Rattus norvegicus: one gene and its partners. The main gene of each other region encodes a partner of the protein of the gene in region 5 in a complex. Links are inferred from orthologs where the notes say so. Each region holds a gene or a part of one and is shown on either strand. Other genes may lie near its edges. The genes, in order: Med31, Med4, Med7, Med16, Med24, Med20 and Med25.

Region 1 (4,012 bases), about 27 Mb from region 5:
CAGAACATTATGCAAGATATAGTGGAGTTATTTCACAACTTCTCTCGAATTTAAACATCTATAGCTGTTACCTCCAAGAGGACACAGATGAACAGAATAAGGAACAAGCCTACAAACGGCTTAGAGCTACAAGGAGGTGTATTTGATCAGAGTATATAAGAAGAGCTCCCTTACCTCTGGCTATCAATGGAGTAAGCTGCCTCTAATAGTAGAGGGACCTATGATCATAGGGAGCCTCCAACAGAGCGGAGACAATCATCTTTCAACAGCTGGGCTGGAGAGACTGAGCTTGAAGGTGGCTAAAAGTTTGCTAACATGTAACATGTTATACTTTTCTTTCTTTTTTTTTTTTTCTTTTTTTTTTTTTTCTCGGAGCTGGGGACTGAACCCAGGGCCTTGTGCTTCCTAGGCAAGCGCTCTACCACTGAGCTAAATCCCCAACCCCATACTTTTCTAATAGTAATTTCAAGCCTATCATTTGGATTCCTAGAGGAATCTAGAATTGCATCATGAAGAGCAAATCTACAGGCAGCCCAGGAATCAAGTCAGAAAAATGACTACGATTAAAAAAAAAAAAAAGGTTTGAAATGTTTTCCTCTAATTTTTAAAATAGGGTCTCTCTGTGTGGCCCTGAATGGCCTGAAGCTTGCAACATAATCAGGCTGGCCTCAAATTCACGGAGATCTGCCTGACTCTGCCTCTTGAGAGCTGGGATTAAAGGGACACCAAGCTACTTCTGGGGTTTTTGTTGTTGTCCCCTCCTTTGGGGCAGTGTCTAGACAGGGTTTACCTGGGTAGAGTGGCTGTCCTGGAAGCAGCTCTGGCCTTGAACTCACACATGCGCCCGCCTCTGCCTCCCAAATGTTGGGATTAAAGCCAGCTTGGCTTTCTTTTCTCTTTTTAAGTCAAAGCAGAGTTTGATGTGATATTGTTGTGTCTGTTCTTTTACAGTGAGTTAATACGCACAGTGATTGAAACAAAGGACACCACAAAGAAAGGCAGGACCTCTAAGACTCTCAGGAAACAGTTCTTCCTACCGTCACAGGTTATGGGTTGTTAGGCCTCAAAACCCCAGAAAGACAGGGGCAGTGCTAAGTGACATGGTTAGACACGACCAAATTACATTAGAACTGTAGTCTACAACAGTTCACTGGATCTTAGCCTGCACGAACAGTATGCTCTGACTTACACTGCCAAGAGAGTAAGCTGGCTCCCACGTAGACAGTTCTTTGGTTTTGTTTGAAGGGAGTGAGGTAAGAATGGTAGCAGAAATAAATGAAATTCCTGTCATAATCAACCCAAGTTAGAGATAACAGCGTCTTACATCAACTAAAAGCAGAAAGATCCCAAATGCTGTTTTCCATTCTGACACCGAGAAAACTGCTAAATAATAGCACTTAGTATTTATAATAAAGTACACACAGCTTTGGGATTTTAAAAATTAAACTTACTTTAGATATTTGGCATATTCTGGTTCTTTCCAGTAAAGCAAGTACTTAAGATAATTAACAAAAGCTTTGTCTTTGAAGTAACCTCTTTGGGCGAGAACTGAAAGACACAAAGAAACACTCTGTATGTCAACCACTGCTGGGCTGCTGATCTGTAATCTCTTAAGTAAAGTAGCTCTTCTTAACATCCCTACCGACAAAACACAAGGGATTAAAAAACACAAGCCCTTGTTTGCTCAGTTGATACTTACAGACCAGCACAAGTAAAACCCCAAACACATCGAAGTAAATAAATACTATTACAAATTGCATCTCTTCTCAGAAACCATTAAGATCTAGTGAGCTACTTAAGTTAATGATGTACTTAACTTACAATTAAGGTAATTTGGGTTGGCTAAACATTGCACAAATTCCAACTCCAACTGAAACCGAAGTCGATTTCCAGCATCATCTAGGAGAAAAGACAGTAAAAAAAAAAAGAGAAAGAAGGAAGGAACGATCACCCAAAATAAAAGTCACAATACAAACATTGATTTGTAGAAACAAAAATAAAACGCAGGTCAAACAGCTCAGCAAGTAAAGGTGCTTGCTGCAAAGTCTGATGACCTGAGTTCGATTCCTGGAACCTACAGGGTTGTAGGAAGACAACCGATTTCTGCAAGTTGTCCTCTAACCTTGGCATGCACCGCCGCTCACCCCCATAAACACACACACACATGCACACTCATGAATGAACTCAAATATCAAAGTGTGGAAGAAACTTCCTTAGAAATTTAGTTTAATTCACTACTTAGTGAGCCCTGTTTCCAAAACAAAAATAGTAATAAAAAAATCCTTTAAAGTTCGTTGAGGAAAAAATATGTAGAACCTGTACGCCACTGTGGAAGGACGTGAGCGGAGATTATCGGATAGTCTGCAATAGCTGTACGGTTCCCTATGTTGTTATAACCACAACTAATTACGTTAAGCAAAAACAAAGTGCTACACAAAAACGAAGCAGGAATGATTAAACAATGGAGAGAAGACGGTGATATGCATTAGAATACACAGGTTACCGACATTTCAGGCAAGTTTGGAGAAGTTCCAAAGAGCAGACAGTGGAAGGTCTCAGTCCTTTCTATGCGCCCCGGCCCGCCCCGCGAGTCAGGGTTGGAGTAGGGGTTAGAGCAACACAGGAGCAAAGTTGGTCCTACAGGCCATATTCTGGGGGGCAACACCGCCTTCTCCTCCGCCGGTCCCAACTCTAAGGATGAGGAGTTGAGCCCGGAAGACGGCGCAGGGGAAGGGAAACGGGAGAGGATTTTGGGGCGAAGGACCATTCCCGTGCAAAACACAACGCACCTGTCTCCATAGCGACGGCCGCGGCCATAGCAAGCAGAAAGGCGCAAACACTACCAACCCGACCCAACCGCAGCCCGGATTGGTGAAGGAGAATCCGGAAGTCACGGGTCCTACTTCCGGTCGCGGGGCAGAGTGGGACACGAGGGCGGGGACAACTTCACTTTGGGGAAGAGTGGCCCCGCCCATCTGTGCGGACCGGGCCGACTGCGCGCGCAGATATCGAGCGGGGCGTGCCGGAGGGCTTCTCTGATTTCAGGTCTGAGTCCTGCTGCCTACTCTGATGTAATACACCTCTCTGACGTCACCTTCCCCCGGGTGGCGTGACGCAGAGCATGATCCTTGGGCTTCTTTGTTCCTCCTGACCAAAGTGTACGGGCAGGATGGCCTCGCCCCTTAGGAGCAAGTCCTCCGTCCCGCGAGTGGAAAGCACCCGCCACAAGGAGACATCGACTGTCCGCATGGAGACGTCGTCCCACCGCGAGGAAACGTCATCCCACCGCGTGGAGACGTCCTCCCGGCAGGTTCTAACGTCTTCCCGGCAAGTGGAGACCTCCCAGCGCCACCGAGAGGGACCCTCCCTCACCCCCTCCGCGAAGCGACTCCCTCAATTCCTCGAGGTGTCCTCCCAGCACGTGGAAACCTCCTCGCAGTGCATGGAAACGTCCTCCCGCCACGTCAGGGCGTCGTCATCCCTGCGGGTGGAGACTACTGTGCACCGCGTAGAGAGCCCAGCCAGGCGAGACAAGCAAGCCACTCGGCAGAGTGCCAGAATGACTCGATGAAGTGCCATGGTCCTTAGCCAGGACTGAGGAATTGCCAGCCAGCTTCCAGGAGAGCCAAGTATCTTTGGTTTCATGGAAACAGCCCATAAAACAGTGTAAGAAGCAGGCTGTGGTTTCTGGGCACTGTTAACATGTATTGACATTGCAGCACCTTAGTCCATCCTGCTGTTGACCCAGCGTACTATTAACCTGAAGCCAGCACAGAAAGGTTTCCGATTTGTAGTACTGTGTAAACCCAGACGATGGACAAAGAGATTCTTTGAGTCTCTACACCAGGTAAGTTTTATAGTCTTAGGTCCCTCTAGAATGTGTTGACGACTTGAAATCTGCGAAGAGGGGCCAGATTTGTCATGTTTCTTGACTACTGGCCTGATCATATACCTGCTTGAAACCTACAGAGCAAGGCATCATCTTTCACAAATTGTTAATTACCCTTTAATA
Region 2 (4,056 bases), on a different chromosome or scaffold from region 5:
GTAAGTGCCCATCAGATAGGGGGTATGGTGAGCACATAAGGAGAGAAGTCAGACTTCGAGGGAGGGTGTTGGCACCTATTCCAGTGTGGATGGACCATGATGGCATTCACTAAATGAATGAGCGTGGTGTACTGACTCAGCATTTGGGAGGTTGTGATGAGAAGGTGAGATCCTTTTTAGTTTGGGATTAGCTTACACAACAAGATTCTGTCTGAAAGGAAGAAAGGAGAACAAAGCCAAATTCCCAAAAACCAAAAACAAACCAAGAAACCCCAAATTAGAACAGCCTATGTGACTCCACTCATACAAAATGAGTAGAATAGTAAGATAGAAACAGAAAGTACAGTGTGGTTTCCAGGGATGGGAAGTCGCTCTTTCATGAGTATACAGTTTACATTTTAGTAGATGAAGAGGTTTGGGATGTTTTTTAACTGCAATTTGTTTTGTTTTGAGACAGGGTTTCTCTGTGTAGCCCTGGCTGCCCTGGAACTCACTCTGTGACCAGGCTGGCCTCTATCTCAGGAGATCTGCCAGCTTCTGCCTCCTGGAGTGTGGGATTAAAGGCATGTGTCACAACTGCCTTGCTTAACAGAAATTTAATGCCAGTGAATCCTTTGCACACAATGGTTAAGATACCAAATTTTAGTAACCAGGCACAGCGGTACACCCCTTTAATCCCAGCACTCAAGAGGCAGGAAGATCTCTGAGTTCGAAGCCAGCATGGTCTATAGGGCAAGAATATGTACTTTGCTACCAAAAAAGGAGTAGGGAGGGAAGAAAGGATTTTACCTCCTGCCCCAAATTTACTACAACCTCATGAGAGACCAAACTTGATGGCTGGGATATTATTATTGGAATACAGACAAACTAGAAGTTAATAAGTATGCAATTCCCCCAGTTTCTTAAAAATTCTTTTGTTAGAAACCTTCCATTGATGCTGAGGAAACAGAAGACCCAGGAGACTGGGAACTGTATCTCTCATTCTGGGTCCAGTTGGAGGTATCAGATTGGAACCCGCCACAAGGCCTCCTTTGCCCTGTAGATGGCGCTAGAACTGTAGTGCACCTCCAGGACGATAGGCGGCGCTCTAGCGGGACCACTCCGTCCCGACCTCTATTACTCTTCCTTCCGTCTACCGGTCCCGCCCCTCCTGCGGCTAGCTCGCACTGCGCATGCGACGGCTGGTGGGCAGTGGGACGATGGCGGCTTCTTCAAGTGGTGAGAAGGAAAAGGAGCGGATGGGAGGCGTTTCAGGAATGACAGGCCTTGGCAGTACGCGAGAGCGGCTTCTGTCTGCGCTGGAAGATCTGGAGGTCTTGTCGAGGTAACCGCGGCCTGGGAGCCTGCTCCGGCCGGCTCGGCTGTGGGTTCTGACTGGGTAGGCGGGCTGGGGAGTCTCCGGCCAACGTGATGGACGTGGGGTCAACTGCCTTCCGGGGCTTTGGGCGGCATTTCCCCTATCAAGGGGATATTTCAGTCACAATGACCTGGGACCCCAAGACAGTCAAAACTTTGTAGTTGCCGGTAAGAGGACCAGATCCGAGCCCCCTCATTCATGGACACTGAACAGACATTTAAAGCACGCTCCCTCCCGGATACAAAGTGTTGGGATACTGTAGTCAAGAGGAGACTAGATGCCAACACGAAGGAGCCCAGGGCAACGAGGGAGACGAATGTTTAAAACTGCTGTGGGCCAGGTTTATAAGGGTTGAGCAGTAGCCTTCTGCAGTCCACGGATGGGATTTCTATTCTGGTGGCAGCAGGGCAAGCTTCCCTAAGAAATGGGCTGCATGTAAAATCATCAGGCTTGGTAAGCGTCTGGTAGGTAGTCCAGCATCTGAAAAAGCCTGAAAATGTCATGCAGGACAAGGCGGGGTGACTGGTGTGTGGCCGAGATAGATTAAATTGGATGTCATACTCCACTTTGTCCTGATTGTCTCAAGTCTATCAGTTAGAGCCTTATCAAGGGAAGGCAGCCCTGGCAATCTGTACCGTCTTACAGGAAGACATAATTTACACAATTGGCAGCTCTATTGGCCTGCAGACCCACAGTCCAGTCAGGAGACTGCCACTTAATCACAACTGAGTCTTTGGTGATCGTGTGCAGTAGCCGGTGACTGCTGAAGTGTTTACAGTCACTCTGAGTGTCCAGCATGTTGAGAGGACCATGAACCCAACAATCAATTGGGGCAGGGAGCAATTAAACAGTTTCTTTTGTATTTACTTTAACAAATTGTTAGTGCGCTATGAAAAGGTTTCACTAGATAGCCCAGGCTGCCCAGAGTCCTCCCAAATACCGAGTTCACCTTACCCTGATAGTTGTTTTTCCTGTAGGGAACTTATAGAAATGCTTGCAATTTCAAGAAATCAGAAGCTGTTACAGCTGGAAGAGGAAAATCAGGTAAATGGTTGTATTATTAATTATTATTATTACTATTATTATATTAAAATTATTTATGTTGGGCAGTGGTGGTCCACACTTTTAATCCTAGCACTGCGTGGGAAGAGGCAGGCAGATCTCTGACTTCGTGGCCAGTTTGGTCTACAGAGGGAGTTCTAGAATAGCAAGCTCAGATAAACCCTATCTCAAAAAAAAAAAAAAAAAAAGATAACTTAATGTTTGAAAGTTTATGTTTATTTTGTGTGAATCTTTAAATTGATACTTTTTTAAAAAGCATTACTTTATTTTATTTTTGGATTTTTTTCTGAGAGTGCCTCTCTGCCTGCTCTGCAGACCAGACTTGTCTCAAACTCATGGCCATTGGCCTGCTTCTGCACCCCCAACCCGCACCCCTCCCCCGCACCCCCTCGATTGCTGGGATTAAAGGCCCGTGTCACTGTGCAGGGCACATTGGTACTTTTCTTTATGGCACTTCCGTAACACTGTGCCTAAGAAGCTCCTAGCCATACATTGTGGCCCACACCTTAAGTCCCAGCACTGAAGTGTCCCAGGTAGGCAAATCTCTGTGACTTGAGGTTCTTCATGGTTTAGATACGACTTTATTCCTTGACTTTTGAGTTAACCAATAAAACCTTATGAAATAGAGACATACAGTATGCTGGAAGGAAGTTGTTAGTACAAACCCTGTATGTTGCTGCTTCATCCCAGTGAAACTTGAAGTGAGTGGAAGTCAATGGATATCACTCTTAGAAGCTATCTATACTGTTCATTCATTCTAATTTTCTCCAGTAGATAGATGCATTTTATTTTCTTTTTCTGATTCAGAAACCTCTTTTTCCTTTCTCTCCCTATCCTTTGCTTTTGAGTGTGTGAGTGTGTGTGTGGCAGGGGTAGTTTTCAAGACAAGGCTTCTCTGTGTATGTAGCCTTAGCTATCCTGAAACTTACTTTGGTCACCACAGGGTCATAAGAGTGTGTGAGCTGGCCCTGCCCCTTGGTGGCTGCAGCACTTGGGAGAGTGGGCCCTGTACACAGTAGTGCTGTACCGGGTCGAGGGGACATGGGTGAGCCAGCCCTGAGCTGGCCCTGCCACGTGTTCTGGGTGTGGGGTGTCGTCGTCATCACCCCGCGGCCCCCCCCCCCCCCCCCACTTATCACCTACAGTAATTGAGAGAGCAGGCCTGCCCCTTGCTGGCTGGAGCACTTGGGAGAGTGGGCCCTGCCACTTGTTTGTTCTGAGATGGTGTGGGTGCAGGGGTGATCCCCTCTTTATATCCTGCCCCCCCACCTCTGCACCACCATCTGTGGTAGTCCAGAGTCGGCCCCAAGGGCATGAATACAGGAGACCTAGCCTTGCCCACTCACTAGCTGTAGACTCGGGAGAGTGGGCCTGCACCACCGGGGCTGGTGGAAGGTATGAGTAAGCCAGCCCTGAGGCTGTGAGAGCAGGAGAGCTGGCCTGGCTCCTGCCTCTGGTGGCACTGGGTGGCCTAGCTGGAGCGTGCTGGAGAGCTCCCCGATGGTGCAGACGCAGCAGAGCTGCAGGCTGACAGCTGCCACCCAGGCCCACACCCAGCGCTCTGAGTCGTTCCTCCCCAAATCTATATCATCTGCAAGAGTTGGGACATGTGAAAGGGCCAGGCCTGCTGATCCAAA
Region 3 (4,360 bases), about 53 Mb from region 5:
CTTGAGTTTCTGGACTTCGGATCCTTCCGTTTTTACCCCCTATGCGTTATATGTACTATTCTAGGCAAACTTTCCACCAACTGAGTTACATCTGAACCCCTATTCATTTAACTTTGGGTGATGGCTAATCTTTAGAAGCAGAAAGACCGAATGGCATTTTCTTGTAGCTGCCCAGATAAAAGGACAAGAAGAAAGGAAACTGCTCTTTCGTTGCTTGCTCTCATTCTCACTGGCAACTTCATCTGTCCCACTGCTGTGTCATTCCTTTGCCAGTATTAGATCCAAACTTTTTTGGGATTCCAACACAGACTGAAGAGCAGCAGCTCTCTAAAAATCCTCCAGGCCTCCAACGCCAGGTGGGGTCTGCTGAGACATCCAGCCCCTTAGACTGAGCAGCTACGGGATTCTCAGCCTTTCAGGTTGGAGGCAGCCATTGTTGGACTAGTTGAACTGCATCTTGTAAGCCACTCTAATAAGTTATATGACATATATATCCATGTGTGAACACACACTCATTTGATCAGTGTAACAACCCCTGGTACACTTTCAGTAAGATAGTAATGCTATGGGCATGGGAAAAAGCGAAGAGCCCTTACCTTTGAGAGGCTCATACTGGACTAGAGGCGAACTGATGGGGAGCATATAGCTGTGGAAGTTGGTGATGAGTAGACTGTTCTTTCGCTTTTATGCCTGCAATTCTTCACATATTTAAAGGAAGAAACTGGGACATTCTTGTCTCTGAAGCAGAGCTGTTTTAGCAGAACAGTCTTATCTCACTTTTAATTTGCAACAAGCGTTCTTAAGACTCCCATGAGTTAGGACATCTGTTAACAATTCTTTTATATGTGTGGTGGGGGAAGGCCTAAATGGAAAGTTTTCTTGCTGGTCCTGATGGCTCATTTCTGAACCTCTGGCTTTCCTGAGGCTCGGAAGAGACATTTGAAACCATGTGTAGCCTGGGCTACACAGTGAAATTGCCCACTCCTTCTAATTTTAAAAATTACATTAATTTTTTTTTTTACTTGTCGGTTTGTGGAAGAATTGTCATATACATCTTTGAATTCCTAAATGAAAATAAAAGTGAACGGAAGGGGGAAAATGAAGGTGTAGGATGTTAGTCTTAATCATGTTCCCAAATATCCCCATGTATGTATGAATATATCATGGAGTACAACTTGCTTTAAAAAAATTTTTTTTGATGATAAGGTTAGCATTGATATTTTTAAATATTGCTTATCTGTATTTTCTGACTTATATAAGGCAAATATTTAATTTTAAGAGTCTTATATAAAGGGGGTGGGCGGCGAGGAGTCGAATTACTAGAGAGTACTTTCTTTTACTAACAAGAAGTATGAAGAAACACTCTCCTGACCTGACCAAGAAGATAGACAAGAGATCTTTTCCCGGGAGAAGCGGGAGACGCGGGAGTGCGCATGCGCAGTATCTTTAGGGCGGGAGTAGGACCTGCTATAGGACAGGCTTCGTAGCCAATTAAAGGCCCGCGTCAGAGGCTTCTTCCTGAGAAGGCAACCGGAACTTGTGCTTCCGCTGCGCTGAGGAAAAAGTCGCTACGGGAAAAGCTAGAGCTGAGGTGAGCCGGCGCGGCGTTTGGCGACCGCAGCCAGAGTCTGTCTCTCCGCCCCCGCGGTTGCGTCTTTCCCGGCGCCACGCCGAGGTCCGGCGCGGGACAACCTGGGAAGCCCGGGCTCGCCTTCCTCCCACGTCCCTCAGCGGAGCCTCCCCGGGGCCTGAGGCAGGCGGCTGGCCGAAGGTGCGCGGAGTGCGGCTCGCTCCGGGCGTCTCGCGGACCGGACGACGAGCCGGACCGGAGGTTGGGAGGTCCGAGTTCTCGTCCCCACGCCACGGGCTTTTAAAGTGTCGTGGCCTTAGCCTGCCCTGTCGGCATTAGTAAAATGATAGTAGCCACCTGGGAGCGCGGAGGCTGGGGGAGGGGAGGGAGAGCCTCGGGCGGATCTTATCCTGTACCAGACTTTACGAGGGACAGGGACCAAGTGAGCCAAGTGTCTGAGCTTGCGACCACTCCCCCCCCCCGCCCCCCAAGCAAATGCTAGAAACTGAATTTTGTTAGTGTTAGCAAGTGAGGACATCCAGCGGCTCTGAAAAGTTCAGTTTAAACCGGTGAGGGCGGTTTTTGTAAGGTGGCAGGCTCTAAAACGGGATGCTTGAGTTATCGGGGTTTGCACTTCCGCGCAACAAAACGAAACAGCCAAACAAAACAAAACAAAAACGGAGTACAAATTCCCGTTATACATTTTACCCACTTCTGCACATTGGAAACTGGCTTCTTGTTTCTAAAATCAAATTGGGAATAGTTGTGCCGTTAGGAAGATAGAAGTGAGGATGCCGGTCACTTATTAGAAACCTTTGGGAAATGGGAATTTAGTATGGGTGTGGCTAAGGGAAGCGCAGATCTCATCTTCAAAAGCCCTCAGGGGACGAAATTTAGGCTGGGTGTTGACTTGATGTGACTGCAAATAGACACTAGTATCTTAGGTATATATACCCTGAAATAGTTGAGTTGGACGACCTGAAGAATTTGAAGTGACTTCCCTCAGATTTAATGTATTCCAGGTGTACGGAACCTGTATGTTACTTTCCCCTGTTACCTTGAATCTCAGTGTGAAAAAGCGCTCAAGAATCTTCTCATTGTATAATGTACTTAAACTCAAATTGGAAAAGCAGAGGGTATTTTGACCATATATGTTGCAGTGTTGGGACTTAGGTGTTAAATTTATGTAGAAAAGATGTTAAAATGCCAATTGTCAATAAAACTGTACTATAAGATGTTTGTAAGATGAGGCTTCCCTCAGAAACCTTGGAAAATTCTAGAAGTATGAAATTTAACAAGTGATTTTTGTCAAGACGTATAGAGAATCTTAAGTGTTTGGTTTTGGAAATCACTGTACAGTAGAAAGCAAAGTGAGATTGATAGACACCATATGTAGTTTGATTATGGAAAAGAGAAATAAATAAGGCATATGACTTTGTATATAACTGTTCTTTCCCAGAGTAGGTTTCAACGTATGCCTACCAAAAGGAGTCAGGCATGAAAAAGAAGTATATCATATACCATGTATAAGCCCCCCAATACAGACCCTTTTCTCTTAGTTTTCAGAATATATGTTTGTTCTTTGAGAATTTTATACACACACACAAACATGTGTGTTTTGATCATGCTTGCTTCCTCACTCGTCTAATATCTTGCAGACCACTACCATATCTTACTCCCAATTTTATATATTTTTAAAATATTTTCTTGGTTTTTAAAGATGGATCTTTAGCACAGGCTGGCCCATGTAGTTCAAATGGGCCTTGAACTCACAGCTATCATGCTTCTCAATCATTAGGACTCAACAACCATCATGCTTAGGGCAGTTTAAAAAATTGTTTAAAAATAACAGTAAATAAAGTCCTCTGCAAACCCGCAGTGGACTCTGCTGCTTGTTTTCCCACTTTGAATGCTTTATTTACATTTGTCAGGTTATCTACAATGTGTGAGTCCTTAATGCTAACATCATTTTTTAAACAAGCAGAACAGATCTTACTGAACGATCATATGAGTGCTCTTTAACAGGTGAGAAGGGCTCGAAGAGATTAAAAATAATCGTAGGATTTCCAAGTGAGGCTGTTCCGTGTTCTCAGAATTTCCTTCATAGACAAGGTTTGCACACCTCGACTTGGGTGTGTAGTTAGACACTAGACATGTCTCATGGTTCTCACTTCTGTTATCCTCACTGCAGTGAACATGGCGATTCAGCATTTTAAAGCCTGATTCAGTTAAGCAACAACCTGTAGTCTTGGGTGAATAGAGTTAAGAGCCAGGACACAGCAGGCCGTAGGACCAGAGCAGGTATTGTAAAGAAGACATGGTACCTGGGAGTCCGTGACTAAGTATGTGTAAGTGGTGATTCTACAGTAAAAAGGAGCCTGCCATTGTCCACTGTCAGTTGCAGAAATTGTACAATGGGAATTTATACTTGAATGTTGGAACCATAACTCATGCTATCACAAAGTAGACAGAGGGCAGACCTTTTTGGAAGGCCATCTTTGTGTGCAACTTTCTGCACCTTCCCTGCTCTATCCCATTAGTCTAACAAGGGACTAATCAGATCTTCATAAAGCCATAGCTTTGCCTTATTTTTCTCTTCACTTCTTCCTCCTTTGCCAGGATTACCTGTCTCCCTAGGGTGAAATTAGCACACCTGTTGTCTTTGCTGGCCAACAAGTTCTCAATTTTTATACTTCCCATCAGGAAGCTTGAAGATAATATGGTCTGAACCCACAACGAACTTGTACTGAACATTGTACTTGTGTTGATCAGGCTGCTCTGGTCTTAGGT
Region 4 (4,382 bases), on a different chromosome or scaffold from region 5:
CACTGAGAGAAAGTCAGCCAAGAACTGCTCCTGAGGTTCCTGGTGTTTTTCTTCAGGATTGAACTACAGCTGCTGGTTCGTGCCTGGTGTCTGCCTGCTAAGTCCTATTTGGTGTTTGCTGCGGGACTGAACCACTGCTAGCTCACCCTCAAAGAGCTACTGCTCATCAGGTCCACTTCCCCCATAGCCTAACAGCTTTTCTCTTCCGCTGCCTCTGCTGGGCTAGAGGACTAGGTTGCAAAGAGCTTATGCCCACGGAGTCCCTTGGAGCTGGAGTTACAGATGGCTGTGAGTCGCCATGGAGGGGCTGGGAATGTACCCAGGTCCTCTGCAGGAGCAGCTGGTACTCCTACCACTGAGCCACCTACCTCTCTAGCCCTTACATTAAATTTGGAGAACAAGTATCACTGTGTAGCCCTGGCTGCCCTGGACCTGGATATGTAGACCAGGCTGGTCTTGAGCTCAGAGAGAGCTGTCTGCCTCCTAAGTACTAGAATTGGGGATGAGAGGCAATGTGAAAGCCGTTAGGCTCCAAAAACCTGTAGCAATCATGGAACTGAATTTTGGTTGTGCTTCCTGACCCACAGGCTGCCACTTCCCCTCCCTTACTAAGGGAAAAGGACTTAGAGTCCAACTCTGTCCCCGCTCCTAAGTGGCTGAACTCCAGAATATAGACAGACAGGAGGATTCTGGGGTCTGAGGATGTTTGTAAGACAGCACTGCAGACGCAGACATCTGTTAAACAGACTCCCTGTCCAGGGGCCATAGCTGAAAGGGAGGCTCAGGGTTAGAGGCTCTCGGGGACAGCAGTAACCCACAGGTACTCACAGCACATGCCAGCCCCTGGTTCCGTTCCATGTACCCCTTGGTCCCCCAGTGGTACACTCACCTTCTCTACGTGCAGTGCCAGTTTCACCCCGTTATGCAGCCAGGACAGAGCCACGATGGGGTCCCCTTCCACCTGGCTGCCCACGGAGCTCTCCCAGCTGTTGGCCAGGTGGTCAGCCATGCTCCAACATTTGATCTGCCCGTCAGCATCGGCAGACAGGAGCCGGGACCCTGTGATGAAAGAGCTGTGTCAGGAGCCCTTCTGATGGGCAGGTAAACTGCTCGGTGTCCCCTCCCCACTCTGGACTCCCAGTGGGCAGTGGCTGTCCCCAGGCTCCAGACTTAGGACTGATGACTGAGGAAGGTGGCATATGCTGTCCTGGGCTTTGGATTGAGAGCAAACCTCATGGCCTCACCTGACTGGTCCCATTCCAGGCAGGTGATGGCCTCACTGTGGCCAGAGCTGACAGAGTGCACTTCCCAGGGATGTTCTGTGTCAAGGATATGAATCATGTGTGTGAGGTCTGCAGGAAAGAGAACACTGAGGTCAGTGTGGTCCACAGTGCCCATGATTCCCACCCCCATTGCCCCTCTCCTATAACACCCCTCCCCCATGCTGCTAATCCCTACACAGGGTATCCAGTGCAGCCAGTGTCTCTCCAGAGGCACTATCACTAGATTTGGAGGATGGTGACCAAAGTGTGGATGTCTCTTCTCCCACCTTGCTTTCCCAGGCCTCTCTAAACCCTGTAGCTGGCAATGGAGAGCCTGGCTCTGCCACCATGAACCTACCAAATCGGGACCCATTGTATGAGGAAATCACAGCCCACCCACTTGGTCTCAATCCCCAGGTCCCAGTCAGGGAAACAGAACTAGCACTTACCCTGGTCATCATTGCGTAGGTCTGTGGTGAAGGCAATGAGGTTCCTGCAGGACCAGGCGCAGGCCAGGGGCAGCGACGGGCAGTACGTGCTCTTGGCCCACTTCTCCCATTCGCACACATAGGCTAGGTCCATCATACCCACCGCACCCAGCACCGTCCCTGGCTCCTGGGGAGAAGGGAGGCATGCTCTATAGCAGCTCCCGGCTAAAGTGGGTCTAGAATGTTCTCCAGCTCGAGCCCTGCTAGAAATTCCATGATGCCCCACCTGAGGTCACCCCTCCCTAGGCCACCTATCACCCACCCAGATCGCTGTGAGCTCAGCCTACAAGTGCTAAGCACCCTCACACACACAACCAGGCCCACTCCTACCACTTCAGTCTGGGCCTCAGTCTACACTCCAGAGACTTGCCCCGGAACCTAGTAGCTCAGGCCGCGTCCCAGCCCATTAGTCCCACTCGCAATAAGTTAACATCCAAGGCCCACCTGAGGCTTAACACACGTGCTTCACCGCGTCCCGCCCAAGCTCGTTAAGCTCCACCCACACTATCTAATCACACTAGGCTCTGCTTCCAAACAAAACTACTAACTTTATTCATCCCCCGCTTCTCTTCAGTTTGTGACTATCAGGTCACCAACCCCTCTGCATCAGTCTCAGATCTTCAGTCCCTAACCCCGACCCACCTTAGGCTCCGCTCCTTAGCCCACCGCCTTCTCTATCAGACTTATTGCTTCAGGCTCCGCCCCTTCGCTCAACTTCGGAACCTCAGGCCACGCCCCTCCCAGGGAGTCTCAGCCCCTCGGACCACGCCCCCTCCCCAGCCTAGTTGCCTCAGGCTTCACCTTAAGCGGGGAACCTAATCACATCTCCCCCTCACCGGCCTCTACCCAGCAAGCTTTGTTCCCAGGCCCGCCCTCTGACCCCGCAGGCCCCGCCCCTCGGCCTTCCGCTCGCGGGCCAAGCCAGAAATGCACCAGCCAGGAGTCCCATACCCCGCACTCCGCACTGACCTGTCCGCCCCGGGCGCCCAGCCGACCGGGCGGCCGCGGTCCACACTCGCCCCAACGCCCGGGATCCGGCGCCGCCATTTCTCGGCCCGCGCCGGCCCCCTCGAACAGACTTCTGGGAACCGGACTACGCCCCTGCCCCGGTTAATTTGCATATAATAATTTCCTAGTAATTATTGAGGCTACACGTGCGATAAAAGACAAATAATCTGTTCTTTCGAATGATTGGCTAGATCTTATAGAAAGGCTTAACTATATAAGCAGGACAAATACTATTCCTTCAGAGAAAACTCACCCTAAGTGCGAAGTAGCTCAATTTTGAGCCTATAAATATGTCTTGGGTAAGCCCGTAGTTCGTGCTCGCTTCGGCAGCACATATACTAAAATTGGAACGATACAGAGAAGATTAGCATGGCCCCTGCGCAAGGATGACACGCAAATTCGTGAAGCGTTCCATATTTTGCCCTCTCAGAGGAACTGGCATACAGCATAACTGGCATACAGCATAACGTCCTACGAAGGCCCGCACACGTTTTTCCCATTTTGTTTCTCGACAGAAGGGCTCATTGTAGCTCAGGTTGGCCTCCCACTGATGAGGTTCTCCTGTAACAGCTTCTACCTGCTGGGGTGTCAGAAGTGCATCACCTGGCCATGGACTTACTTACACCGTTGGGGGTGGGGGTGGGGGTGGGGGTGGGGGTGGGGGTGGGGGTGGGGGTGGGGGTGGGGGTGGGGGTGGGGGGTGGGGGTGACATGCCTGCCACAGTGCAGGTCAAAGGACCCGGAATTAGTTCTTTCCTTCCTCAGATTGCTGAACTTGCCAGCAAGCACCTTAACCCGCTTAGCCATTTTGTTGGCCCTCAAGTGGCTTTTGTTTGTATGAGGCAGGGTCACTGTGTGGCCCTGGCTATGTAGACCTTGCACTCAGATATCCATCAGCCTCTGGCTCCTGAGTGCTGGGATTGAAGGTGTCCAACATCAGACTTGTCTGTCCCATATGGCCCAGGCTGGCCTGAAACTCACTTGACCCATTGGTCACATGTAACGGTTTATGTGGTATTGGAGATGGGACCAGGGCTTTGAGCATGGTAGCCAATGCTTTCCCCACCAAACCCCAGCCTGGCACCCATCTTTATGCATTTTACATGTTGTAAAATGAACTAACGCATCAAGACTTGAGGTTCCTCCACGTCCAGATCTCCAGCCTCAGTGACCTAGTCTCATCTCTCCCACCCCACCAACCCCAAAAATAAGCACACAGCAGGCCCGAGCACCAAGGCTTTATTAAAAGTGTCCCTTTCCCCAAGCACAAAGAGTCACACGGAAGGGGAAGGGAGGACTCTGCGTGACCACAGCTACGCCAGGCAGCAGAGGGGACAGAGGAGGGGGACAGGGTACACAAGGTCAGAGGCTTCTGGCTGGAAGTCCTGGACCCCTGGTGTAAGGGAGGAGGAGGAGAGGGGACCGTCTGAAAGGCAGGCAGGGAGCTGGGGACATAATACACACGTCACCAAAAAAGAAAGCATAAAATGAGCCCTTGGGACGAAGCTTGTCCAGGTTCACGGGCACATGGCGTGCATACATGTGCTCGCACGCACTCTCACACACACGCGCAAACACACACACACACACGCGCGCGCGCGCAAACACACACACACACACACAC
Region 5 (3,582 bases):
GTCTCTGGGTTAGGAAGGAAGGGAGAGTGGGTGAGTCAGTGGTACAAGCTGTGTCAAGCTGGTGAACTCACTAAATGCCTCGCCACCCTCCCACCAGTGATAAGGGAGGAGGACCTGTGGGGTCAGAGCACCCACTAGGGACAGAGAAGTGCAAGCTCCTGCTCTGCCAGACGGCCATGAGCTGGGAGTCGAGGAAGCTCGTGAGGGAGGAGTGAGTCCTGGGCAGGCCCATGATCCCCAAGTGCTCACTAGGACTTGACAGGATGCTGGCATCATCCTCATTGGAGCTCAGGAGCCGCATAAGCTTTGAAGGCTGCATGTCCTCCACAGGGAAGAGGCTGATATAATCCTGGGGACAAGGAGTCACTGTCACACACTCGACTTCCTAAGTCTCCAGGAGCTGGAGAGGACTGGAGGGCAGATCTGACTGGAGAAGTGAGCTTCCTACAGTCCTTGGCCAGCGTTACCAGTGGTGACCCTTCCCATACCCCAATCTCTGCCCAGTGAGCAGAAAAGGATCCTCATCAAGGATACTCAGAGGACCACTCAAGCCACTCCTCTAGACCCTGACCAATCAGACAGGCCCACACACAGATGACCTTAGCCCCAACCTCTGGCTGGGAGAGCACCTCTGCTTTAAGCGATCAGAAAATGTTTGCTGGGTTGGGGATTTAGCTCAGTGGTAGAGCGCTTGCCTAGCAAGCGCAAGGCCCTGAGTTCAGTCCCAGCTCCGGAAAAAAAAAAAGAAAAAAAGAAAATGTTTGCTGAATAAACACATGACCAAGTCAGCAGCAGGCCTACCTCTATGTCTTCTCTGTGCCTCTTCTTCTGGCGTGAGGATGCCTGTCCCTTGTGGGAAGAGTAAGAACTCAGGGCACACCAAACGGCTAGCCTAGCAAAGGTTCCAGGAAAAGGCATAGTTAAGTCGGTCCCAGAAGAAGCTACATGTTCACAGTGAAGGAGCCCCTTCTGTCCCTCACTCCCACCCAGATCCTGGGTGACACCAGACTGAATCTGGATGCTAGATGCTTGGGGCTCAAGAAAAGCTCTGGAGAGAATCCTACTTGGCTAGTGCGGTGCCAGGAGGGTCCATGAGGCTGTGCCACTTGGAGGAGTCAGTAAGCAGCCCAGGCAGGATGTGGCCCAGCAGAACCAGGGTCACTTGTTGCATGTCCAGACAGAAGATGGAGTACAATAGTTGAACTGCCCTTAGCGTGTGCTCCTTGCGAGTCTCCTTCAGCAGTTCCTGAGAGGCAGGCGAGTGGCTCCTGAGGTGCTGCCTGGACCCTAGGATTCTGATGCTCTAACCACCTCAGCAGCCAAAGGTGCTATTCAACCCTAACTCCCAAGGTGCTTCTCTGAGGTGAAGCCCTATCTCCCCAGGAGACCACCCAGCTTCTAGCAATCTCTCAAAGAAGCCTGGCCTATCCCAGACAATGATGTCTCCTGTCCCTGTCCACCTGGCTTGTCCACATACACCCCAGCCCAGCCTATCCCAGCTGATGACATCTCCTCCCCCTGTCCAGCTGGCTGTCCACATGCACCCCAGCCCGGTCTATCCCAACCGATGATGTCTACTGCCCTTATCTATATGGCTGTCCACATGTACCCCAGCCCTAGTACCTTAATCAGGTTGTTGCAGAACCAGTAGACGCCACCCATGTGCAGCAGGGTGTCAAGGATGTGAATGGAGCGGCTGTCCACCCAGCCCTTCTCCAGTACCTTGGCAAAGATGTCTGTCAGTACCTCCTTGATGGGACGCTTGGGAGGAAGCAGGTTCCAGTAGGGCATTGTGTCCACGCCCGTGGATGGAAACTTGATCTGCGTGGCTGTCTGCTGTAGCACGTCCGCACACATGTGTTCCAAGATTGAGTTCATAATCACCACCCTAGGGGAGCAGGGAGGGTACATGCAGGCATTACCCCTGGGTTGGGTTACGGAAACATGGCTGAGGAATTAGACCCATAGTATGCTGGGGAGGACAATACAGTTCACTCCTGGCGAGGAGCTCACTTGCCAGGCCTGAAGCCTAGGAGAGGCACAGACCAGGATTTTCTTCTCTTGCAGATTCCATCAATCCACTCAGATTTTCTGTTTCTCCTCCCCTCAACATCCCCATCCCCTTGTCCCCTCCCCCAGGCCTGAGCACTGCCAAATCAGGGTCATAAATAAACACAATCACTTCCACTTAAGCTGAGCACTTGGGGGAGGGGGTCCGACCCAGCCCTGGCACCCTCCCAAAGTAAACTGTAACTTCCAGGAGAGGCCTTTAGGCTGCCCCATGAGACTCTTCCCGGCCCTGGGCAGCTGGGCAAAATGTGCACGGCCTGGAATCCTCTTGGGAACATCTGGGCTGCAAACACAGCTGGGGTCTGAGTACTAACTGCTGGGATGTCAGGGTGCAGAGAGTGCAACCTTGACTTTCAGAGCCCCTCTGTGCCCGTGTGCTAATGTGTGTGTGTGTGTACGTGTGTATTTGTGTGTGTGCGCGCGTGCGTGCGTGCATGCGTGTGTGTGTGTTATAGTGTGTGTGTGTGTGTGTGTGTGTTATACACACTTAATTTGGATGATGTCCCACAGGCAGGGGAGTGCAGATAAGAGTGTACAGAGCCTCCCCAAACTTTGCTTGGGCTGTTTCCATATGTCCCTCAGAAAGCATCTTCAGCAGCTGCCCTGCAAGCCAGCCCAGCCCCACATACACAGCAACTCTCTCCAAGTCCCCTTGAGGGGCACGGATATGCAATGTTACTCAGCCTTAAAAGGAAGGAAATCCTGTCACATGCCAGAGTATGAATGAATTTTGAGGAAATTATGCTGAGTAAAGTCAGTCAGTCATGAAAAAGCAGGTATTACGTAATTCTAGTTATACGAAGTATCTAGTGTAGTTGCTCAGAGGGACAGACAGCAGCACGGTAGCTGCCGGGAACCCAGAAGGGGGGGTAGACAGTTGCTTATTGGCTAAAAGGCTCGGATACACAAGATGAAAATGTCTGGAGATCTGTGTCACAACCCACATCCTGAGTGACACACAAACACAGTTGAAATGGCAAATTTTCTATTATGTGCTTCACGCCACATTTAAAAACCAACAGCCCAACAACCTAACAGTTGGGGGGAATGAACGGACACCACCAGCCCGTGTGGCGGAAGTCCCTCAAGAGCCAGTACTTGAAATGGTCACCAGGACAGCTGGGGGTGGGGGAGGGCAGCTATAAAAACTGCAGATGCCTCAGAGTTCCTCGACAGTGACACAGCCATATAATCCCTTTGCTCTTCTGCCTCAGCTGGTTCTCTACAACTTGGAGTCTTTGAGGACAGAAGCCAAGCTGTCTGGGGTCCATATTTCCCACTCATGGACTGCAGGGTTAAAACCCTCTCGATCCAGAGAGACACCAACTACCTGCTGTGCCAGTTGAATGAGTGTGTGACAAAGAATGTGAGGGAGTGGTAGGGAAGGGAAGCCGTAAGCCGAGAGGGAAAGGAGAGTCCAGCCACCCTAACTGGGCACGGCCTGGGCAGCACAGCAAGGTGGGCTGTCAGAGCCTGGATGGAGGAGGAAGTGGTGGGTGAGCGGCTCCCTGG
Region 6 (2,913 bases), on a different chromosome or scaffold from region 5:
AGAGCCATCACCTGCTCCGTTATTATTAGGTCTTTTGCTTAGCAAGCTTCTTTCAGTGCTGCATTTCCACTCATGACAAGGACCAAGCAAAGTACCCAAGTGGTCATTCTTCAGGCTACATCTCATGTTTAAAGCCAACTGTGAGCTCAAATGGAAAAGAGCAAAAATGAAGGGACTGAAAAGACAGCTCAGTAGTTAAGAATGTTTTTGCTCTTGCAGAAGACCTGATTCCATTCCCAATATCCAAATCTGCCTGAGACACCATATCCAGAGGAGTTGATGCCCTCTTCTGGCCTCCAAGGGTACTGCAAACTCAAGAACAAACCCCCCCCCCCCATTCCCGCCATGCGTGCCATTAAAAACAAAATCTTTTTTTTTTTTTAAATCAAGAATGGGGTTGGGGATTTAGCTCAGTGGTAGAGCGCTTGCCTAACAAGCACAAGGCCCTGGGTTCGGTCCCCAGCTCTGAAAAAAAGGGAAAAAAAAAATCAAAAATGTGGGAATGGAAGCAAGGCAACTTCAATTACCAAGATGCAAGATTGTTTGTGCTTCTCTTTATTTTTTAGAAACTGATCCCTTCTTATGTAGGAACTGAGAGTCCATATTTACCACACTTAACATCTGTGTTTTCAAGCGACCAGTACAAAGTACAAAGTAGACAGCCTGCAACAAGACCAAACACAGAACAGAAGGCCGAAACTGTAGTGTTTGTCAATTTTATTGTGGTATCTAAAACACCTCAGTTTTTACACAGCAACAATAAAAGAGTAACAACAAAAGCAAGAGGAAGTAACAGGATAACCAGGAAGGTGTGATGAGCTGTCCTGCCCACCAAAGCTAGGACACAAGAATGACCCACCTCCTCAGAGCTGCTGCACAAACACTGCCACCCTACACTTTGTATATGAACAGCTTTCCCAAGCCTGTCTACGTGTTAAATGTTTCTGTAACAGGTGTGAGGCAGGTGAGCAATGTCAGTGAGTTCAAGGCTCAAGCCAGCCAAGACGGCAAACTAGGAAGCCCCCTGAGAAAACTGAGTGTTGAGTGTCAGGAATGTGTGTCCACAGTGATCTAATCAACTTTGAAAAACATCCCTATCTCTTTCCTCAGCAGACTGTGGGCACGGAGATACTGAGCGTGCTTTGATCCTGTGGTGAGGAAAGCATTCTGGGGACAGTATGATAGAAGGAACAGTAAGACATAAGAAGCCAAGTTCCTGGTAACCCTGTGGAGTTCATTCTGTTCTGTGGAACTGAATGCCTCTGAACTATTAACGAAAAATAAGCTGTGCAGTAAGAGCCCTCTGCTTTTGGTTCTGCTACAGCAACTTGGCCTGCAGGTTCACATAATTCAAAACAGTAGGGGAAGACATCAGTGTCCAAAGAATGAAAGCAACACTCTCGCAGCCAACAATCCCGTCCTGCCAGCCACATCCTCAAGCGAAAGCAGCACAGGCATACAGCCTATTCGAAATGCTCAGCACCTGGGGACACACAGCTCTAGCACTGGTGGGCACAACCCTGTCCTACCTTTTGCCTACAGGAGGAAAGGCCCAAGCCTTTCCATTCTTCACAATTACCATTCTTGAGGACCAGCCAAATCCAGTTAAAGCATGAAGTAAAGAACAGCTGTGATGTGGTCAGGAGGGGAGTCCAAAGCCCTGGAACACAAGCTACAGCTGGGACCCAAGTCCAGCACGTGGTCCTTGACAGTGCCATGGTGACAGCTCAGCAGGCGGCAGCTGCCAGTCACTAGCGGATCCCAGCCACAGGCACTTGCTGCTGTTTCCGGACCTTGTTGAAGAGCTCCATGTACTGTACCATGGTATCTGCTGGCCCGTAGACCGCATCATGTCTGTTCCCAAACACTGTGGGCGCCCCTGGTGTGTGGCTACCTAGAAAACTCTGTAGGAATTCAAGCAGGAGGCTCCAGCAGTCACTAGCTACCACACAAGGGCCATACTCCACCTGGGACAAGAGAACAGACAGCAAGGGTAAGGACAAGGATGGGCTAGCTAGCTTCCCTCCTGCAACTGCAACCGTCCAGTCACTGGTGAAACAATTAGACAGTGTTGGCCTGGGAGCCTCCTGAAAAGAAACTTGACACGAGGGTCCTTCCTTTTCTCTACCTGGGCACTTCCCAGACTCTCTTGTTTGGTTGTTACTTTGTGACAGGATCTAACTGTGCAGCTGCAGTTGGCTTCAGACTCGCAGTCCTCGGGCTCTGTCTCCCAAGTGCCGAGACAGTAAGCATGTACCAGCACTCCCGGCCTCCGACTCCTTCCTCCTTAGTCTGTCCACTGCTTTACAGGTTACCATTTCAGTCAGCAAGACTCAGCCTGGTTCCCTAAGCCACATGCCTTTCTGGACTCACTTCACATGTGTGTGTTTCAGCTCTGCTTGCTTACCAAAACCATGCATTTTCAGAATTGTTTTATTGTTTCTAAAATCGCAGTTAATGCTGGACACATGGTAGGCTATGGACTTTCACTCTAAAGCTATCTTTCCATACTCTCCATGTCATTTTCAACATCTACATATTTAGGTTCAGTGTTGAAGGCCATCAGCCAGTAAAAATGCTTGCCACCAAGCCCGATAGCCTGAGTTCAATCCCCAGGACCCACATGGCAGGAAGAGAGAACTGATTGCTCCAATCTCTAGATGCACACCTACACCCACGATAAGTATGGTCAATTTTTTTTTTTGACTAAAAAAACTAGATGAAGGCATCTCATACACACATTCTTGGCCATCATGAAAGTGGACAGATGCCACAGGGAAAGATACAGTTTTGTTCCACAGCTCTGGAAGCCTCTTGTAAAACATACTAAGGTGGGGCACGGTGGGCACTGTATGACTGACAGCCCACCTCAGACATCCCTCAGAAAGCTGTGTCCTCAGCCCTTCCTGGAAA
Region 7 (4,377 bases), on a different chromosome or scaffold from region 5:
AGAGCCCTGGCTGCTCTTCCAGGGCAGCTGGCAGCTCAGAACTATCTCTAACTCCAGTTCCAGCGTCTGGTGCCCTTGCACAGACATGTATGTGGACAAAAACATCAAGACACTGATTTTGGGATGGAGATGGCTCCATGGTTAAGAGCACTGATTGCTCTTCCAGAGGTCCTGAGTTCAAATCCCAGCAACCACATGGTGGCTCACAACCATCTGTAATGAGATCTGATGCTTTCTTCTGGTGTGTCTGAAAACAGTTACAGTGTACTCATATATAATAAATAAAATAAATCTTAAAAAAAAAAAGACACAGGGGTTGGGGATTTAGCTCAGTGGTAGAGCGCTTGCCTAGGAAGCTCAAGGCCCTGGGTTCGGTCCCCAGCTCCGAAAAAAAAGAACCAAAAAAAAAAAAAAAAAAAAAAAGACACTGTTTTTTTATTTTGGAAAGGAGGTTTGTAAGTGTCAAGGGTGGATATGAAGAGATAGAAAGTTGAGTAGGATTGGGGTACATGGTATGAAAGTCACTTCTCACCAATAGAAAGTCACTTCTTTCAATAGAAAGTTTAAAAAAAATCGTAAGACAAAAAAAAAAATCAATGCACATTAAAATAAAAATCCTTTAAAAAAAATAAAAGATTTATATAATCTAAGCTAGGTGTAGCAGCTCAGACAAGAAAACCTAGCACTGATGAGGTTGAGGCAGAAGGATGGAAAGAACTGTGTGGCTAGCCCGGAAAACCTGACAAGATGCTGTGAGGTTTTTAAACTGGACTGGGGGCATAGAAACGTTCAGAGCACTGGCGGCTCTTCAGAGGATCCAGGTTGGAGTACACTGTTTAACTCCAGTTCCAGAAGATCTTATGGCCTCTTTGGTCTCAAAGGGCACCAGGCACAAGTGTTGCACACACAGGCATATAAGCAAAACCCCATACACATTAAATTAAAAAAACAAAACAAAACCTGTTTTAAAAACTTGAGTGCAAAGTGTCAACAATATCAAGAACAGGAAGCTTTGCTTTATATTAATTCTAATCCCAACAACTTCCGGGGGCAGTACACAGGCCAGCTTCCCATGCCTCTTACCAAGTCTCTCTGCCTCTGTCTGTCACACACACACACACACACACACGCCTGCTTCAACCAAGCAGGAAGAACCAGCAGGAACAGATCAGCACCACTAAATGAACCTTGACCACAACCAGACTGTGGAACCCACCTGGGAAGATTAGCATCAGTGAGCCTTCCAGCACCCACCACTCTATAGGTTACTCATTTGCAAACCAAGAACAGGGACAGGGCGAGCAGTACAAGCAGGCACTCACACACTGCTCACTATGTGCCAAGCACCAGCACCCTACAAGGCTCTGGTGGTCTGTCCCCAGGGAACCCACTGGTCACCCATTCTTGTCTGGAACAGGGCAGACTCACCTATCAAACAAGTTGTGACAAAAGTGATGAGGTATGACTTGGTCATCAAAAAACCTGGTAGTTTCCTCTTTGCCCTCTGGGTTCACATTCACTCTGAGCAGAGGCAGCTGCCAGTCTGGGTGTTAATCTGCCATGTTCGAGGGCATGATGGCAAACAGCCAGCAAGAACGAAGGCTCTGTCCCCAGCCACAGAGCAAGCAGTTGACCGTGGTTCTTTCAGGCATGCCAGGGAGTGGATGACCACAGCCCTGTGAGACCAGACCAAACACACATGACCCCACTTATCTTCCTGAGTTCCTGACCTACAGATGGTGCAAATGTTCAGTTTGAAATCCTTAAACCAAGGCAGCATGGGGGAGAACCGGTTATACAGTAACAGACATCCAAGAGCACAAAAAACAAATACAAGTGCTACAGGTTTCCTTTTCAGAAGGAATGGGCAGCACAAAGGACCCTGGGACCTAGGAAATATGTCTGAGAAGAAGCCGTGGCTACTGCAGGTTGCCTGATTCCATAAGCTGGCTATGGTGGCACGAGTCTGTAAGCCCAGCAACCAGAAAGTAGAGGCAGTTGGGTCAGGAACTCAAGGTTAGCCTCAGCTACACTGTAAACTATGACCCAACTCACATAAGGTACTCTCAAGGCCCAGATCCATCCTGCAGACTCCTCTGGAGTAGACAGAGAAGAAGAGCAAGCTGACGGTATGGCATACTCAGGTACAGACTGTGGGGACCCACACTGAACTCCAGGCACTATTCAATCACAAGTCACCATGCCCACAGTCTTTCTTAGGGTCCCCATCCTGCCCCAAATGAAGTCAAAGCTCACTTGATGCCATCGAGCCAGGTGACAAACTCATAGGCACTGCTGGTAGGAGCATGGCATTGTACATAGGACTCTGGAGCGCAGTCTACTGTGTTGAACACCACAAGGCTGTACTGGGTTCCGCCATACTGCGAAGACAGGACAAAAGAACTTTAAAACGAAGATCTTTGGCAAGGAACAGGGCCTCCCAACTTCAGATCATTTTAGAAATAAACTGAGTCTCTCTTTCTTCAAACCCAAGACTAAGGACCCCATCTTTGCTCCCTCAGACATAGGGGTCTACCAGCTTCCTCCCCATGATTCGGCCGCACACTCACGTCTCCCCCAAAGTCCGTCTCTGCGGGTGGTCCTCCGTTGAAGTACCTGCGAAGACGGAGGAAAGGCAGCGTCGGCACAAGCCTTAGGTTAGGGCAGCGGGAGGCGATGTAGGGTCTCACTCACTCTATGGCGGGCAGCAGGTAGTGCTTGCGGAGTCCCTCGAAGTACGGCCCCAGGTTTGCCGTCCCCTCGATCACAAACACCACATCAGCGACCAGGCCCCCGGCCCGGGCCGGGCCTTCGGATCCGGGGACCATGCCCCGCGCCGCCGCCGCCGCCGCCAGCGCCGCAGAGGCCGTCGCCGTCCCGGGACGAACAGAAGTGCGCTTGCGCGGTGCGCGCACTCCCGCCGGACGTCTGGCAACTTCTGCTGATGCTGATACGGCCATGTTTGTGCGGGGCATCTTGGGAGTGGTGGTTTTATCTCTACCTTGGCGCATACCAACAGCATGAAACTCTCAGAATGGGCACAACGAGCCCTTTTAAGGGCCTCTTGAAGTCGAACAAACTTTTGTGCACAACATCAAGCACGAAATAAAACGAAAAACAGCACATCCGGCCACCATCTTGGAGTCGAAATCTTGTTTCCGACTCCGGGCTAAAGGGAGTTCGGGAACCCGGTTGCTAGGCAACGCGTGCCCTGCCATAGAGGTCTGACACAGAGATTAAGTTAATAAATTCTGTTCTTTCTGACCAGGAACCGATGGGAGAGAGTAGTCCAATCACATCATCGGAAACGACGTTGCTAGGCAACAGTGTAAAGTTGCCCAGGACTTGGAAGCAAGACAGTTGTTTTCGCTGGGAAAGAAGGGAATTTCAATTTAAATCAAGGTTGCTAGGCAACACCTAATCTCTGTTTTCTGGGAAAGAAGCCAGAAACCGACTGAAAGAAAATACATTCTTTACAAAACAAGAAAGAAAGCAAGAAAGAAAACAATAATAATAACAAAATAATAATACTAATATATAAAAACAGTGTAATAGGAATGTGAGGAAACTGAGTCTCGGCATTGCAGCTAATGACATAAGCCAAAATGAATATAAAGGGATCTGGAAAATTATATTATAACATATGTGTGGACAAAAATTTACTAAACAACCTCTACTAAACAAACCTCACTAATGTAGAAAGATACAAAGCTGTGATGGCACATGCCTTAAATTCCAATCCACAGCAAACGCAAGTGTATCTGAGCTGCAGTCCCAATCTACAGAAAGAGTTCCAGGAAGACAGGGCTGCACAGAGAAACCTTGTCTCAAAAAAAAAAAAAGAAAGAAAGAAAGAAAGAAAGAAAGAAAGAAAGAAAGAAAGAAAGAAAGAAAGAAAGAAAGAAAGAAAGAGAAAAAGAAAAGAAAAAAGGAAAAATAATACACAAGCCCTTTATAAAATACGTAGGTGGTGGGGATTCGAACTCAGCCCAAATGCTTGCACTGCAAGCACTGGAGCAACTGAGACAGTGTCCCAGACATTGTTTTTTGTTTTTGTTTTTTTCTTCTTTTCGGAGCTGGGGACCGAACCCAGGGCCTTGCGCTTGATAGGCAAGTGCTCTACCACTGAGCTAAATCCCCAACCCCCAGACATTGTTTTGTGGTGTGTCTCCTCCACCTCTGGCCCCATGGCAGTCTGTCTCTGTGTTAGCCCTGGCTGTCTTGGACCTTGCTCTGTAAATTAGTTAGTGAGGCTTCCCAGAACTCAGAGATCTGCTGGCCTCTACCTCTGGAGTGCCGGAATTAACAGTATGAACAAGTTTTTTTTAACCCCAGTGCTCACCCATAAACTAAAATTTTCCACGTTGAATTTTGTTT

The links.
Region 1: Med24 (region 5) and Med31 share a complex: the UniProt entries of both Homo sapiens proteins name them as parts of the mediator complex. The link is inferred for Rattus norvegicus from reciprocal best matches to the Homo sapiens genes MED24 and MED31.
Region 2: Med24 (region 5) and Med4 share a complex: the UniProt entries of both Homo sapiens proteins name them as parts of the mediator complex. The link is inferred for Rattus norvegicus from reciprocal best matches to the Homo sapiens genes MED24 and MED4.
Region 3: Med24 (region 5) and Med7 share a complex: the UniProt entries of both Homo sapiens proteins name them as parts of the mediator complex. The link is inferred for Rattus norvegicus from reciprocal best matches to the Homo sapiens genes MED24 and MED7.
Region 4: the proteins of Med24 (region 5) and Med16 are in contact, whole or in part, in a cryo-EM structure (PDB 7EMF), measured with the Homo sapiens proteins. The link is inferred for Rattus norvegicus from reciprocal best matches to the Homo sapiens genes MED24 and MED16. Residues at the interface, in NP_055630.2 of Homo sapiens: Ile539, Leu540, Asn541, His544, Pro545, Glu593, Arg629, Met630, Leu631, Gly632, Leu633, Asp634, Glu635, Asp676, Gln679, Gln680, Thr681, Ala682, Pro702, Pro703, Lys704, Arg705, Pro706, Ile707, Lys708, Glu709, His737, Met738, Gly739, Gly740; in NP_005472.2 of Homo sapiens: His29, Cys30, Pro31, Ser32, Arg52, Asp54, Asp55, Gln56, Glu82, Asp102, Val126, Glu127, Gly128, Asp129, Pro130, Val184, Ser185, Leu187, Thr203, Glu204, Ser205, Cys207, Arg208, Leu209, Arg210, Gly211, Arg212, Asp232, Gly233, Ser234.
Region 6: Med24 (region 5) and Med20 share a complex: the UniProt entries of both Homo sapiens proteins name them as parts of the mediator complex. The link is inferred for Rattus norvegicus from reciprocal best matches to the Homo sapiens genes MED24 and MED20.
Region 7: Med24 (region 5) and Med25 share a complex: the UniProt entries of both Homo sapiens proteins name them as parts of the mediator complex. The link is inferred for Rattus norvegicus from reciprocal best matches to the Homo sapiens genes MED24 and MED25.

Annotation. Positions count from the first base shown.
Region 1 is NC_086028.1:57,336,017-57,340,028, forward strand, and holds the start of Med31 (mediator of RNA polymerase II transcription subunit 31), read right to left. Parts: upstream 2,874-4,012; 5' UTR 2,818-2,873; coding exon 2,790-2,817; intron 1,900-2,789; coding exon 1,822-1,899; intron 1,549-1,821; coding exon 1,452-1,548; intron 1-1,451. Other genes in the region: C10h17orf100 (uncharacterized protein C17orf100 homolog), read left to right, coding at 3,170-3,571. UniProt on the Homo sapiens protein: Component of the Mediator complex, a coactivator involved in the regulated transcription of nearly all RNA polymerase II-dependent genes.
Region 2 is NC_086033.1:55,104,892-55,108,947, forward strand, and holds the start of Med4 (mediator of RNA polymerase II transcription subunit 4), read left to right. Parts: upstream 1-1,187; 5' UTR 1,188-1,199; coding exon 1,200-1,324; intron 1,325-2,334; coding exon 2,335-2,401; intron 2,402-4,056. UniProt on the Homo sapiens protein: Component of the Mediator complex, a coactivator involved in the regulated transcription of nearly all RNA polymerase II-dependent genes.
Region 3 is NC_086028.1:31,353,492-31,357,851, forward strand, and holds the start of Med7 (mediator of RNA polymerase II transcription subunit 7), read left to right. Parts: upstream 1-1,545; 5' UTR 1,546-1,591; exon of another isoform or gene 1,592-2,139; intron 2,140-4,189; 5' UTR 4,190-4,358; intron 4,359-4,360. UniProt on the Homo sapiens protein: Component of the Mediator complex, a coactivator involved in the regulated transcription of nearly all RNA polymerase II-dependent genes.
Region 4 is NC_086025.1:10,447,743-10,452,124, reverse strand, and holds the start of Med16 (mediator of RNA polymerase II transcription subunit 16), read right to left. Parts: upstream 2,853-4,382; 5' UTR 2,798-2,852; coding exon 2,720-2,797; intron 2,538-2,719; exon of another isoform or gene 2,393-2,537; intron 1,954-2,392; exon of another isoform or gene 1,878-1,953; coding exon 1,712-1,877; intron 1,353-1,711; coding exon 1,245-1,352; intron 1,060-1,244; coding exon 890-1,059; intron 1-889. UniProt on the Homo sapiens protein: Component of the Mediator complex, a coactivator involved in the regulated transcription of nearly all RNA polymerase II-dependent genes.
Region 5 is NC_086028.1:84,162,350-84,165,931, forward strand, and holds part of Med24 (mediator of RNA polymerase II transcription subunit 24), read right to left. Parts: intron 1,889-3,582; coding exon 1,624-1,888; intron 1,247-1,623; coding exon 1,065-1,246; intron 893-1,064; coding exon 802-892; intron 350-801; coding exon 250-349; intron 1-249. UniProt on the Homo sapiens protein: Component of the Mediator complex, a coactivator involved in the regulated transcription of nearly all RNA polymerase II-dependent genes.
Region 6 is NC_086027.1:20,867,142-20,870,054, forward strand, and holds the end of Med20 (mediator of RNA polymerase II transcription subunit 20), read right to left. Parts: intron 1,968-2,913; coding exon 1,752-1,967; 3' UTR 540-1,751; downstream 1-539. UniProt on the Homo sapiens protein: Component of the Mediator complex, a coactivator involved in the regulated transcription of nearly all RNA polymerase II-dependent genes.
Region 7 is NC_086019.1:104,509,182-104,513,558, forward strand, and holds the start of Med25 (mediator of RNA polymerase II transcription subunit 25), read right to left. Parts: upstream 2,829-4,377; coding exon 2,695-2,828; exon of another isoform or gene 2,617-2,694; coding exon 2,571-2,616; intron 2,382-2,570; coding exon 2,257-2,381; intron 1,558-2,256; exon of another isoform or gene 1,429-1,557; intron 1-1,428. UniProt on the Homo sapiens protein: Component of the Mediator complex, a coactivator involved in the regulated transcription of nearly all RNA polymerase II-dependent genes.